Linked DNA regions of Oryctolagus cuniculus. The main gene of each other region encodes a partner of the protein of the gene in region 2 in a complex. Links are inferred from orthologs where the notes say so. Each region holds a gene or a part of one and is shown on either strand. Other genes may lie near its edges. The genes, in order: SRRM2, SNRPD3 and GEMIN2.

Region 1 (3,645 bases), on a different chromosome or scaffold from region 2:
ATGTGCGTTTTAGAAAGATCCCTCTGGCTACGTGTGGAAGAGAATGGCGTGGAGGCAGGGAGACAGGGAGGAGGCTGTGGACAGAGTCGGGAGATGACGACGGTGGCCAGACCAGAGCCCTGGCAGTAACAATGGGGAGACTTAAAGCTAGAATCCCTGGGAGCAGGCTGCATGGTGGGGGAAGGAAAGGAAGAGACTTAGGACTCCCCGGCTCTGGCCTGAGGATGTACTCTGATCCTGCAGCCTTTGCCAGACCAGGGGTTACACAGAGCAGGTGGGGCAGGAAGAGTGCCCCAACTCCTCAGATATGACCAAACACCAACATCCACATGAGACACCCAGCAGGGACCTCACCCCAGGGTCCCTTCTCTGGATAAGTCACCCCCCACCCCTTCTATTTCAGGCAAGGCAGTACTCACCTCCGCTCGCCAGGGGGTGGCTTCTTGGGGCTTGCAGGTTTGGGCAAGGCCTGAGGGCCAGGCTTAGCAGGGGAGGAGGAGGAGGAAGAGGAGGAAGAAGATGAGGAGGAAGAGGAGGAAGAGGAGGAGGAGGAGGAGGAGGAAGAGGAGGAGGAGGAGGAAGATGACGAGGAGGAGCTAGAACTGGAACTGCTAGAACGCCTCTTCCGTTTGGCTGGGGTTGGCTCTTGGGGACGTCCCTCTCGAACAGCCTCCTTTGGGGCCGGGGTGGGGCTGGGGACCCTGCAGGAGAAGAGGAGTGTCACAAGGAGACAAGCTGCCCCAGCCCCCACCCTACCCTCCTTGGTCTGGAGGAATGGCAGTGGGGGAGGGGTGCCTGAAGAAGGCCCTGGGAGCTCTCCCAGCCTTGAGGACACGAGCCAGTGAGCACGTTCTCTGGAGAGCAGTGGCCAGAGCTAGCCCAACCTCTGCTAACACAAGCAACAGGCTGGGGCCCGCAGCACTAGGGAGTCAAGGCTAAACCTCAAGAATGTCCCTGATGCAGGAATAAGGCCCTGGGTTCGCGTGCGGCAGCTGAAGCTAGGTGGTCTCCTTCCTGGGAGAGCCGCAGCTTGGGGAGGCCCCTGTGAGTGCAGGGTGGCTTGGGAGGGGCCGTCCTGCCTGGAGGCAGGGAGAGGGATGGGATGACCTCTGAAGATCCTTCCAGCCCAGGGAGTTCCTCTTGAGGTCTAACTGCCATCCCTCCTGCTGTAAAATTAAGTCCATTTCCTCTAGTTCTGTCCTCTGTAGAGACGGAAAACTTATCATTATCCTCTAGAGAATCAACCTTCGGAGACTTTCATCTGTCCCATTCCTCCCCCCTCAGCCCCCACCCAAACATTTTCTTCTACCCCAAGCTTCAAAGTCAAGGTCCCCCATACCTCCTCAAAGAGCCAAGAACCTCTGTGACACGGTTATCTCCCTCCCCACTCCCCCACCCAACCCCAACACCTTCCCCTAGAAAATTTCTTAGTCAAGTCCCCTCACCTCTTTAGTGCCACCTCAGGTTGAGGGGGAAGGCTAGAGCCCTCCGAGTCGCTAGAACTGGAGCCAGAAGAGGATGATGACGACGATGACGAGGAGGAGGAAGAGGAGGAGCTGGAGGAGGAGGAGGAGGAGGAGGAGCTCCGCCGCTCCTTTGCTGGCTGCAGGGCGGCCAATGCAGACTGCTGGGACCCAGGAGGTGATTCCCCACCCTCGGGGTGCGACACCCCTGGGGCAGGGCCAGAGAGCATGCCATTGTGGTCACCAGCGGAGGACATGGTCTTTGCCACTGCCCCAGAGGAAAGGGGCTGAGGGCCTGCTACAGAGGTGGTCTGGGCCATCAAAGAACGAGACTGGTCTGAAAAAGCAGACGGCACAGGGGACCTAGGCCTATCCTGCGCTGGAGGGAGAAGAGACTGTGAGGAGGTCTGGACCATTCTCGAGACAGGGGACGGGGCCCGCTCAGAGGTCATTCTAGATTGGCTAGGGACAGATGGCGGTGTTCTGGACCTAGCTCGGTCGAGGAGCTGTGGTGAGGTTCGCCCACTGACTCGCTCATAAGCAGAAAGAGGCACCCTGGGACTGGTGAGGTTTGCACCGGACAATGCTGGAGCCATCCTAGCACTGGTAAGACCTCCAGGAGCCAAGGCTGCAGGGGTCCTGGAGCTGGCAATATTCACAGGAGCCGCACTATGTGCAGACCGGGGACCCACCAGATTTGCAGGGGCTGGAGCCTGGGGTGTTCTGGAGCTGGAGGGGTAATTTGCAGCAGCTGGGGGCGTGCCCGAGCCTGTGAGGCTCAAAGCTGCCAAGGCTGCGGGGGTTCTGGCTCCTGCTAGGTTCACCGCTGAGGCTGCAGGGGTGCGAGGATCAGCAAGGTTCACAGCTGATGGTGCCACCGCCGTTCTGGGACTGGCCAAGTTCATAGCTGCTGCGGCAGCTGGTGTTCGTGAGTCAGCCAGGTTCACTGCTGTTGGAATGGCAGGTGTCCTGGCACTGGCCAGGTTCATGGCTGCTGCAGAGGCTGCAGGAATCCTGCTCGCAAGGTTGGCAGCTGGGGCCGTTCTGAGACTCATGAGAGGCACTGGAGCTGGAACCTGGGACATTCTTGCAGCAAGGCCAGCAGCAGACATGGACGGAGGTGGTCGGGCAGTGCCAAGACTGATGGCTGTCAGGGCAAGTGCAATCCTAGACTGGGCATGATTTTCTGGCACAGATGCTCTGGGATGATCAGGTATCCGCGGGCCGGGACCGTCCATCATGGAGCCACCCGCCTGCTGCAGGACAGACATGGGTGTTCTAGAGCTGCCGAGGGGTTCAAGCATTCCAGGTGACCGACAGCGGTCGAGAGGAGTTGGTGACATGCTAGGGCGACTGAAGCAGCTCATTCTGGAGCTGTTGAGTGCTACTGGAGGTGTCCGAGAACCAGAATGATTTCTCGTTGCCGGAGGAGTAGCAGAACGTGAACGATCTGAACTACTTCCAGACGCCGAGCGCCTGCGAATGGCTGGAGGAGACCGTGTTAAGGAACGCTTGCCTCGAGTTGTTCGTGGAGTACGGGACCTAGAACGGCGGCGGATAGCAAGTGGTGAGCGACTGCGGGACCGCTTGCGAGGCAGCAGCGGTGTGCGAGACCTAGAACGGCGCCGGATAGCTGGAGGTGTCCGAGACCTCGAGCGGCGGCGTGTCACGGGGGAGGTTCGGGAGCGAGACCTCCTCCGAGTGACTGGAGATGTGCGAGACCGAGACCTCCTGCGAGTGACGGGGGAGGTTCTGGATCTTGATCTTCTGCGAGTAATGGGCGAGGTTCTGCTCCGAGACCGCCTCCGGGTTACCGGGGGAGTCCTTGATCTGGATCTCCGGCGAGTCACTGGTGGAGTTCTGGACCGGGAGCGCCGGCGTGTTGTCGGTGTCCTGGACCTTGAACGGCGGCGGGTCACTGGTGGTGTTCTGGACCGGGACCGCCTTCGACTCACTGGAGATGCTCTTGACCGAGATCTTCGCCGAGTCACGGATGTCCTGGACCTCGACCGTCTCCGACTAACTGGTGAGGTCCGAGATCTGGACCTCCGCCGGCTGATCAGGGGTGTTCTGGACCTGGATCGCCGGTGAGTCGCTGGAGAGGCTCGAGATCTGGAGCGTTTCCACAAGGCTGGTGACGTGCGTGAGCGAGAACGCTTCCGGCTAGTTGGGGGTGTCCGAG
Region 2 (3,745 bases):
CCCCTCTTCTAAGAAAAAGAGCACACAGGTTTCTGCTCACTGTGTGGGGTGGTGGGGGTGGGAGGGTAATGGCCCTGAACCTGAAGAATTCTGCTGAAGGTGGTAACACCATTTCTCTCAAACAGGCCCCAAAACATGGGAGAGGCTGGCACTGTGGTGTAGCAGGGGAAGCCACTGCCTGCAACACTGGAATCCCATACGGGCACCGGTTCAAGTCCCAGCTACTTCACTTCTGAGCCTGCTAATGCACCTGGGAAAGCAGTAGAAGATGGCCCAAGTGCTTGGGTCCCTGTACGTGGGAGTCCTGGGAGAAGCTCCCGGCTCCCAGTTTCAGATCAGCCCAGATCCAACCACTGTGGCCATTTGGGGGAGTGAACCAGTAGATGGAAGATCTCTCCCTCTCTTTCTCTGCCTTTCAAATAAATAATAAATCTTTAAAATGGGGAGTTGGGAGGGGACAATTATGGGATGGAGAAGGCAAAGGCCAAAGTTAACTATTCCAAATCTCCATACGGTTCTTTGCCCCAGTACTGTCTCTTGCTCAGGCCCACAGTCCCGGAGCCCGCGGCAGCGCCTGCCACACGTCGGGCACAATGGAGACGCCGCCAGCCTCCCGTACCTGGCAGTTCATGTTGTCTTCTGCCTCGATGAGCTTGCCCCGATACACCTCGCCGGTGTTGGTCTCGCAGGTCACGATGTGGCCCTCGGCCTCGTGCAGGACTTTGATCGGCACACCGATGGACATCTCGGCAGGAGGAGAGTGCTGTGGTGGGAGACACAGCAGTGAGCCCAGCCTTCAGAGCCAGAGGCCGCGTGTGGTGCGCACCATGTCTCCCCAAGGCCTGGACCCCATAAAACCTAACACCGGTGCCAAAGCTGCATTTTCTACACAAGAGCAGCTCAGCTCCTGGCTTGGAGGAGCCTTCCTGGCAAATACACACAATATGAAGAGGGGAGAGACAGCGTGCTGGACAGAAGGAAAGCTCACGGAAAGGAAAAGAATCTCCCACCTACCTCCCTACTCCTCACCTGCTCCCATGTCCCTTTACCTAGAGACAGAGTAAGGGACACAGATACAGATACAGAGAGAGAGAGAGAGAGATCTTCCATCCGCTGGGCCACTCCCCAAATGGCTGCAAAGCCTGGAACTGCATCTGGGTCTCCCTATGTGGGTGGCAAGGGGCTCAAACCTCAGGCCATTATCTGCTGCCTCCCAGGAGCACTGGCAGGGAGTTGGATAGGAAATGGAGCAGCTGAGAATCAGCCTGGCACTCTCACGTGGGTGCCAGCGTCACAGGTGGCAGCTTAACCAGCTGCCCCACAACACTGGCCCCTCATGTCCCTTTTCCTTGGCCAAGATAACCAGTGACCAATGTGGTCTGTGTGTTGGGAGAGAGGCGCTCGGAACGTCCATGCTGAGCAACACATCTGCCTATCCACAGCTGTGGGTGACTGCATCCTGAAAACCACGATGGGGTGCAGCGGGTACACCGGCATCCCACAGGGGCACTGGTTCAAGTCCCGGCTGTCTACTGCCACTCCAGATCTCTGCTGATAGCCTGGGAAAGCAGGAGAGGATGGGCCAAATGCTTGGGCCCCTGAACCTGTGGGAGACCGGGGAGAAGATCCTGACTCTGGCCTGGCCCCCAGCTCCAGCCGTTGCAGTCATTTGAGGGAGTGAACCAGGGGATGGAAGATCTCTCTCTCTGCCTGCCCCCGACCCCGACTGTGTAACTCTGCCTTTCAGATAAATGAATCTTACAAACAAACCAACCAACCAGAGGACCCAGACATATCCAGGAGAGGAGGCTGTGTTTTTATTTCAGCCTCTGACTTTCCATTCGCTTTACTGTTAAAGCTAAAGAGAAAACAGCAAAGCGGTCACAAAGGGACAACGTGTAGGAAACTGCTTATCTTGGAGGAAAAACACAAGGATCTGCCGACGTAGTTGAGAGACAAGCAGTGGAGTTTTTATTGAGCCAGGTAAGGACGCAAGGCTGGCACGAAATAAGGGAGAACACGACAGGGCAGCCAGGCTCGCTCCGTGAGGATCCCCAGCCCTCCGCCGCCAGAGCTGGAATGTTACGTTTCAGAGAGCACGGAACCAGCGCGGGATCTCAAGGAAGGAACGACCCAATGGAAAGGTATCAGCGTTTACAGGCCAAATCGAACACACAGTTCAGAAGCAGAGGAACTTCGGAAAACGCTTTTGCAATGGCGTGGAAAGCACGAGGGGCTGCATCAGCGCCGGAAAAGGGGGCTGGAGGCCAAGGATGACGCCGATGGAGTTCAGGGACGAGGCTAAGCAGCCAGAAACGAGGGGGAGGTAACGAACTCACTCCCCAGGCTCAGGCGAGGCGACGCGGGTGTCTGGGTGTCCCGGCTTCCCGCTTCCTTCCCTCCCGGAGCCCTGCGCGGTTCCTTGCAGCGCGTCCTGCCCCAGCCCCCGATCCCTCACGAGCGCCTAGGCCTCCCCTTTCCCGTCCCCGGCCCCTACTCACCGGCTCGAGCCCCTTCTTCCTCCTCTTCGGTGCTGCGACAACAACTGCGAGAGAGAAGGCGTGAGCGGGGCGAATGGCGGGCCTTGCACTCCCAGAATACCACGCGCTCCCAGAATGCCGCGCGCGGGGACCGTCCCAGAGCGCGAGCTCGTCTCCGCTTCCTCCTTACTCCGCCGGCTGGGAAACGCGGACCCAGGTACGATAGTTCCGGCGCCGGAAGAGAGGGCTGATGACAGGGCCCGGGGGCCGCCGGAAGCCCCGACGCGGGGGCCCGAAACGGGAGAGGGGGGCTTGCGCTTCCAAGCACCCCTCACAAAAGACTGGCTGGACGACAAGGAGGGGATCTACAGCCTGGGTCCTCGGATCCGGGGCAGCAGGAAGTGGGAATGAGGGCTGGGACCTCCCCTCACAATTTAATCTTTGGAACCCGGCACTGCCAGGTAACGGGAACTCTCAGAGAGGGGAGGTGTCGTGTCTGGACAGAGAAACTGAGGTACCAAGTGGAGCAGGGGCCGGCTCAGCACTAAAGAGATCAGAGTACGGTTGCCTGGACCCTAGGCAATCACAGGGCCGGAGCCGGCTTACAGCTGAAGCCGGCAAAGGGGTGGGGCCTGGCAGAGGCGGGGCTTGCTGAGGGAAAGAGCCCCTGGGGAGCCAGTGTTTGCGCTGCGCCGAGCCCTCGGGGAGGGGCTCAGAAGGGGCGGAGCTTCCGGGGGACCGAGCGAAGGAAGGGCCCGCGCGTCTGCGCGAGGATTCGGTAAGGGGGCGGAGCTACCAGAAACCGAGACTGTGAATGGCCAGGCCGGGCTTAAATCATGAGGCTGGAAGCCTCTAGGAATCGAAGTCTGGGACTGGGAAGGGGCGGGGATTAGGGGAGGGGCGGGGCCTCCGGATCCAAGACCTGGAGTGGCTGGGGCGGGGCTTGGGGCTGCCCGGCCGCCGCCTCCGCTTCTCCCCGCTGTGGCGGTGGCGGCGGCGGCTACGGCGTTCGACACGCATTGGCTGCGCTCCTGCGCCAGCTGAAGCCGAAGCTGCAGCCCGCAGCGGGCCGGGGCCATGGGCGCCCCGTGCTGCGCGGGTCATGAGGACGGAGGCGGAGGCAGCGGGGCCGCCGCTCGAGCCGGGTCAGTGCCTCTCTCTGAGGGCCCAGCCCTCAGCCCCGGGGAATGAGGGGGACCCCGCCCTAGCGCGGAGCAGGGTCCATCCGCGCGCGTCCCTGGCCGTCTCTGCCCAGGCTGTGGAGC
Region 3 (3,645 bases), on a different chromosome or scaffold from region 2:
ACTCTGACTTTCAAATAAATAAATAAATCTTTAAAAAAAAATAATGGCCAAAACTCCAGCAGGCATCTGGAATCCTGAGATGAACCTGAGGAAGCCACATGTGGCAGAACCCAAAGGCCTGGGTTACTGCTATATTACATCTTGTCTGCCTACTTCCTTTATCTGAGGACAACAATGCCATTTTATTTAAGTTGCTAGTATTTTCCACTTTCTTGTTATGTGGCCAATTCTAATTGCAACTAACAAAATATGCCAAAGGTCTCCCTTCTATTGGAATTTTTCACCACTATAAAAACTGCTGGATGCTTTCAATTTGGAAAAGTGAGGTGAAACTTACCACTAAGAGCCTCACTTCAGAGCACCTTCTTGCAAGCTGCCGAATCAATGAGTGAGCCTCAGGTAATAAAGGTTTTTCAAGACAAGCCAATAAAGCATAAAGCCATCTTCCCTAAATAGGATTAAAAAAAAAACTATTAAATCACAAGTTTAAATATTCTAAGCTGTGCCTGGTTATCTTCCATGAATAAATTCATACAACTCATTACTGTGTTACATTTAGACCCTCAGATACACTCTTTCACAAATATCTTTAGCTGTGAAACACTGCTGGTTTCTAAAAACTAAATCTTTCAAAGATGATAAAATTTATTAAAATTAGAAAGAACAAACAGGTAATTCATTTAAAAATATTCATCAAATTAACCCAACTTTTAAGGCCAAAAAAAAATGAGTTGTGAATATAAAGCAATAAAGTAAACACAGTGTAGCATAGTTCTAACAGTGTAGAAATAGAGCCAGACTGCCCTGACTTGAGTCTGAATTCTGCCAATTACAAGCTGTATTATGTTAATTGAGTATTGTGGATAATAACAGTTAATAAATTGTTGAGGGCCCAATGAATTATTATATGTAAGGTTCTTAGAATAATGTCTAGCATGTAGTACTTGCTGTTGTTGTTACTTCTGATCCTTTTGTGGACTGATTTCAAGGTCATTTTAGAAAATGCATTCTAAACTTTAACCAGTGCCACTGGAAGTGGGGTTTGCAGACTTGTTGCCAGCCTGTGAGCACACTGTTACTGCTCAGCACTGAGATAAGTAGTTTGTACCAGGATATAAATTAACTCTTTGGTTGACATTTGTCCTCTTCCCCCTCCCTGCCAAAGGAAGACTTTGTCAACGAAGGAAGCAGTATGTTGATTTACACCCTGGTGTAGGTTCCTTATTGCACCACAAACAAGCATAGTTCAGATTACACGTATACTGTCATGTATCACTTAAGGACAGGGCCACATTCTGAGAAATACATTATCAGGCTATCATGTCATTATGCATACACATAGCAAGTACTTACACAAACTAAGACCAGGCTATATAATCTTAGAGGACCACTACTGTAGATGAAGCCCTCCTTGCCCAAAAACATCATGGTGTGGCACAAGGCTAGTAACACATTTGAGTATACACACACACACACACAAATACCATACAGTCACACCTCATGTATCCTATGAAAATAAAACTGAATTATGAAAATAAAAAGATAACACTACCAATTCTGGAGTAAAGTCTCTTTCTCCAAACCAATTACTCAGATATTCCAAGACACTAGTTACTGTTGCCTAAAAAGAAGGGGGGGGGGGGATAGTGGCACAGAACAGTTATAATATTAGTAATAAATACTGACAAATTCAATAGGAGTTTCACTAAATTTAGTTAGAAAGCAACATTTAAGATTGTCTCATTCTTTAGATTTCCAAAGAAAACTGACTCATTAATAAGAGTCACCTCTGGGAATAGGCTTTCTTTTTTCCAAAAAAACCAAAGAAACCTTTTATTTAAGGAATACAAACTTCAGAATTTCTTAAGTACAAATTTAGGAATACAGTAATTCTTCCCATCATACCTGCCCTCCCTCCTACCCACACTCCCACCCCTCTTCTTCTTCCCTCTCCCATTCCCAGTCCCATTCTCCACTAAGATGCATACCCTCCAATGGCCGCCACGGCCAGCGCGCTGCAGCTGGCGCACCGTGCTGATCCGAAGCCAGGAGCCAGGTGCTTCTCCTGGTCTCCCATGGGGTGCAGGGCCCAAGCACTTGGGCCATCCTCCACTGCACTCCCGGGCCACAACAGAGAGCTGGCCTGGAAGAGGGGCAACCGGGACAGAATCCGGCGCCCCGACCGGGACTAGAACCCGGTGTGCCAGTGCCACAAGGCGGAGGATTAGCCTACTGAGCTACAGCACCGGCCCTAAGATGCATTTTCAATCAACTTTATACACAGAAGATCAACTCTATACTAAGTAAAGAGTTCAACAATTTGCACACACACACACAAAACTGTTTCTCAACACTTGAGACAAGGGCTGTTCAAGGTCATTATATCTCGAAGTTAATTTTACCTTTTTTTTTTTTTTTGAGAAAATTAAGTTTAAAGAAGCATTCAAGAATGATACATCTTTTGGGAGCAATTAGACATAACTATAACTTATGAGACATAAGACCTCCACTTAATAAAAGAAAATAAGTCCTTGAGAACAAATTTTATCATTAGTTAAGGAAGCACCTAAGAAAACAAGCAAAGGAGTTGGACACTTAGGCAGATGTAAAACTTATGAGACTTAAAAATATCATTCACTTAATACACTAAAACAAAATAAATCTTTGAGAACAAGTTTCACTGTTAACTATGATAACACAACTCTTTGGAGGACAGAGGTCTTGCATGGGAAGTTAGTGCACAATGACTCCTGTTGTTAATTTAACAATTAACACTCTTATGTATGATGTCAGTGACCACCTGAGGCTCTTGACAAGTGCTGTCTAAGGTATGTAAGCCTTCTGAATTCACAAACTCCGTCAGAACTGTATGGACTTATTTTCTTTTACTGTATAAATCAAGGTCTTATAAGTTATAGGTATGTCTAATTGCTCACAAAAGATGTATCGTTCTTGGTGCTTCTTTAAAGTTAATTAAGTCAGAATTTGTTAAAATTTAGACAAGGCCATAAGCAAAGTGGAAGTTCTCTCCTCCCTGCAGAAAAAAGTACATCCTTCTTTGATGACCACCACTTCTACTGGAGTTTCACCCACAGAAGTCCTTCATGTAGGACATTTTTTGCCATAGTGTCTTGGCTTTCCATGCCTGAAATGATCTCCATGGGCTTTTCAGGTAGACCAGAATGCTTTAAGGGCTGATTCTGAGGTCAGAGTGCTACTTAAAGCAATTGTCATTCTATCAGTCTGCTTTATGAACTGATGCCCATGTTGGAGCATTGACTCCTTTTTAATTCTATTATTACAGAAATGTAATCCAGACACTTACTCCTATTTATATGAATGCTTTAACACTTAAAATGCTATTTTTACCATCCAGCTTAAGGGGATTTGGGGTGGGAATAGGCTTCTAAGACAAATATTCCTATACTTTCAAATATCAATGAATGCCTTGATTAAAATACTAGGATTTAGTTTGTAACTACTAATATAATTTAAAACTATTTGAAAAACTTGACAAACTCTTCAAAAAAAGAGTCTTTACCTTTAGTCCATTTCTCAATTCAAAACAAAGTACAAATCTGAAGAAACAAATCTAGAAAGACCTGTTTTACAGCTATACAGGTAGAATTTATCAAACTCTTGAAA

What was found.
Region 1: SNRPD3 (region 2) and SRRM2 share a complex: the UniProt entries of both Homo sapiens proteins name them as parts of the minor spliceosome. The link is inferred for Oryctolagus cuniculus from reciprocal best matches to the Homo sapiens genes SNRPD3 and SRRM2.
Region 3: SNRPD3 (region 2) and GEMIN2 share a complex: the UniProt entries of both Homo sapiens proteins name them as parts of the SMN-Sm complex. The link is inferred for Oryctolagus cuniculus from reciprocal best matches to the Homo sapiens genes SNRPD3 and GEMIN2.

The regions. Positions count from the first base shown.
Region 1 is NC_091450.1:32,552,435-32,556,079, forward strand, and holds part of SRRM2 (serine/arginine repetitive matrix protein 2), read right to left. Parts: coding exon 1,446-3,645; intron 1,203-1,445; coding exon of another isoform or gene 1,190-1,202; exon of another isoform or gene 702-1,189; coding exon 420-701; intron 75-419; coding exon 1-74. UniProt on the Homo sapiens protein: Required for pre-mRNA splicing as component of the spliceosome. As a component of the minor spliceosome, involved in the splicing of U12-type introns in pre-mRNAs.
Region 2 is NC_091452.1:31,112,540-31,116,284, forward strand, and holds the start of SNRPD3 (small nuclear ribonucleoprotein Sm D3), read right to left. Parts: upstream 2,616-3,745; 5' UTR 2,502-2,615; intron 764-2,501; 5' UTR 746-763; coding exon 620-745; intron 1-619. Other genes in the region: protein GUCD1, read left to right, coding at 2,731-2,941. UniProt on the Homo sapiens protein: Plays a role in pre-mRNA splicing as a core component of the spliceosomal U1, U2, U4 and U5 small nuclear ribonucleoproteins (snRNPs), the building blocks of the spliceosome.
Region 3 is NC_091443.1:36,514,728-36,518,372, forward strand, and holds part of GEMIN2 (gem-associated protein 2), read right to left. Parts: intron 1,622-3,645; coding exon 1,553-1,621; intron 449-1,552; coding exon 338-448; intron 1-337. UniProt on the Homo sapiens protein: The SMN complex catalyzes the assembly of small nuclear ribonucleoproteins (snRNPs), the building blocks of the spliceosome, and thereby plays an important role in the splicing of cellular pre-mRNAs.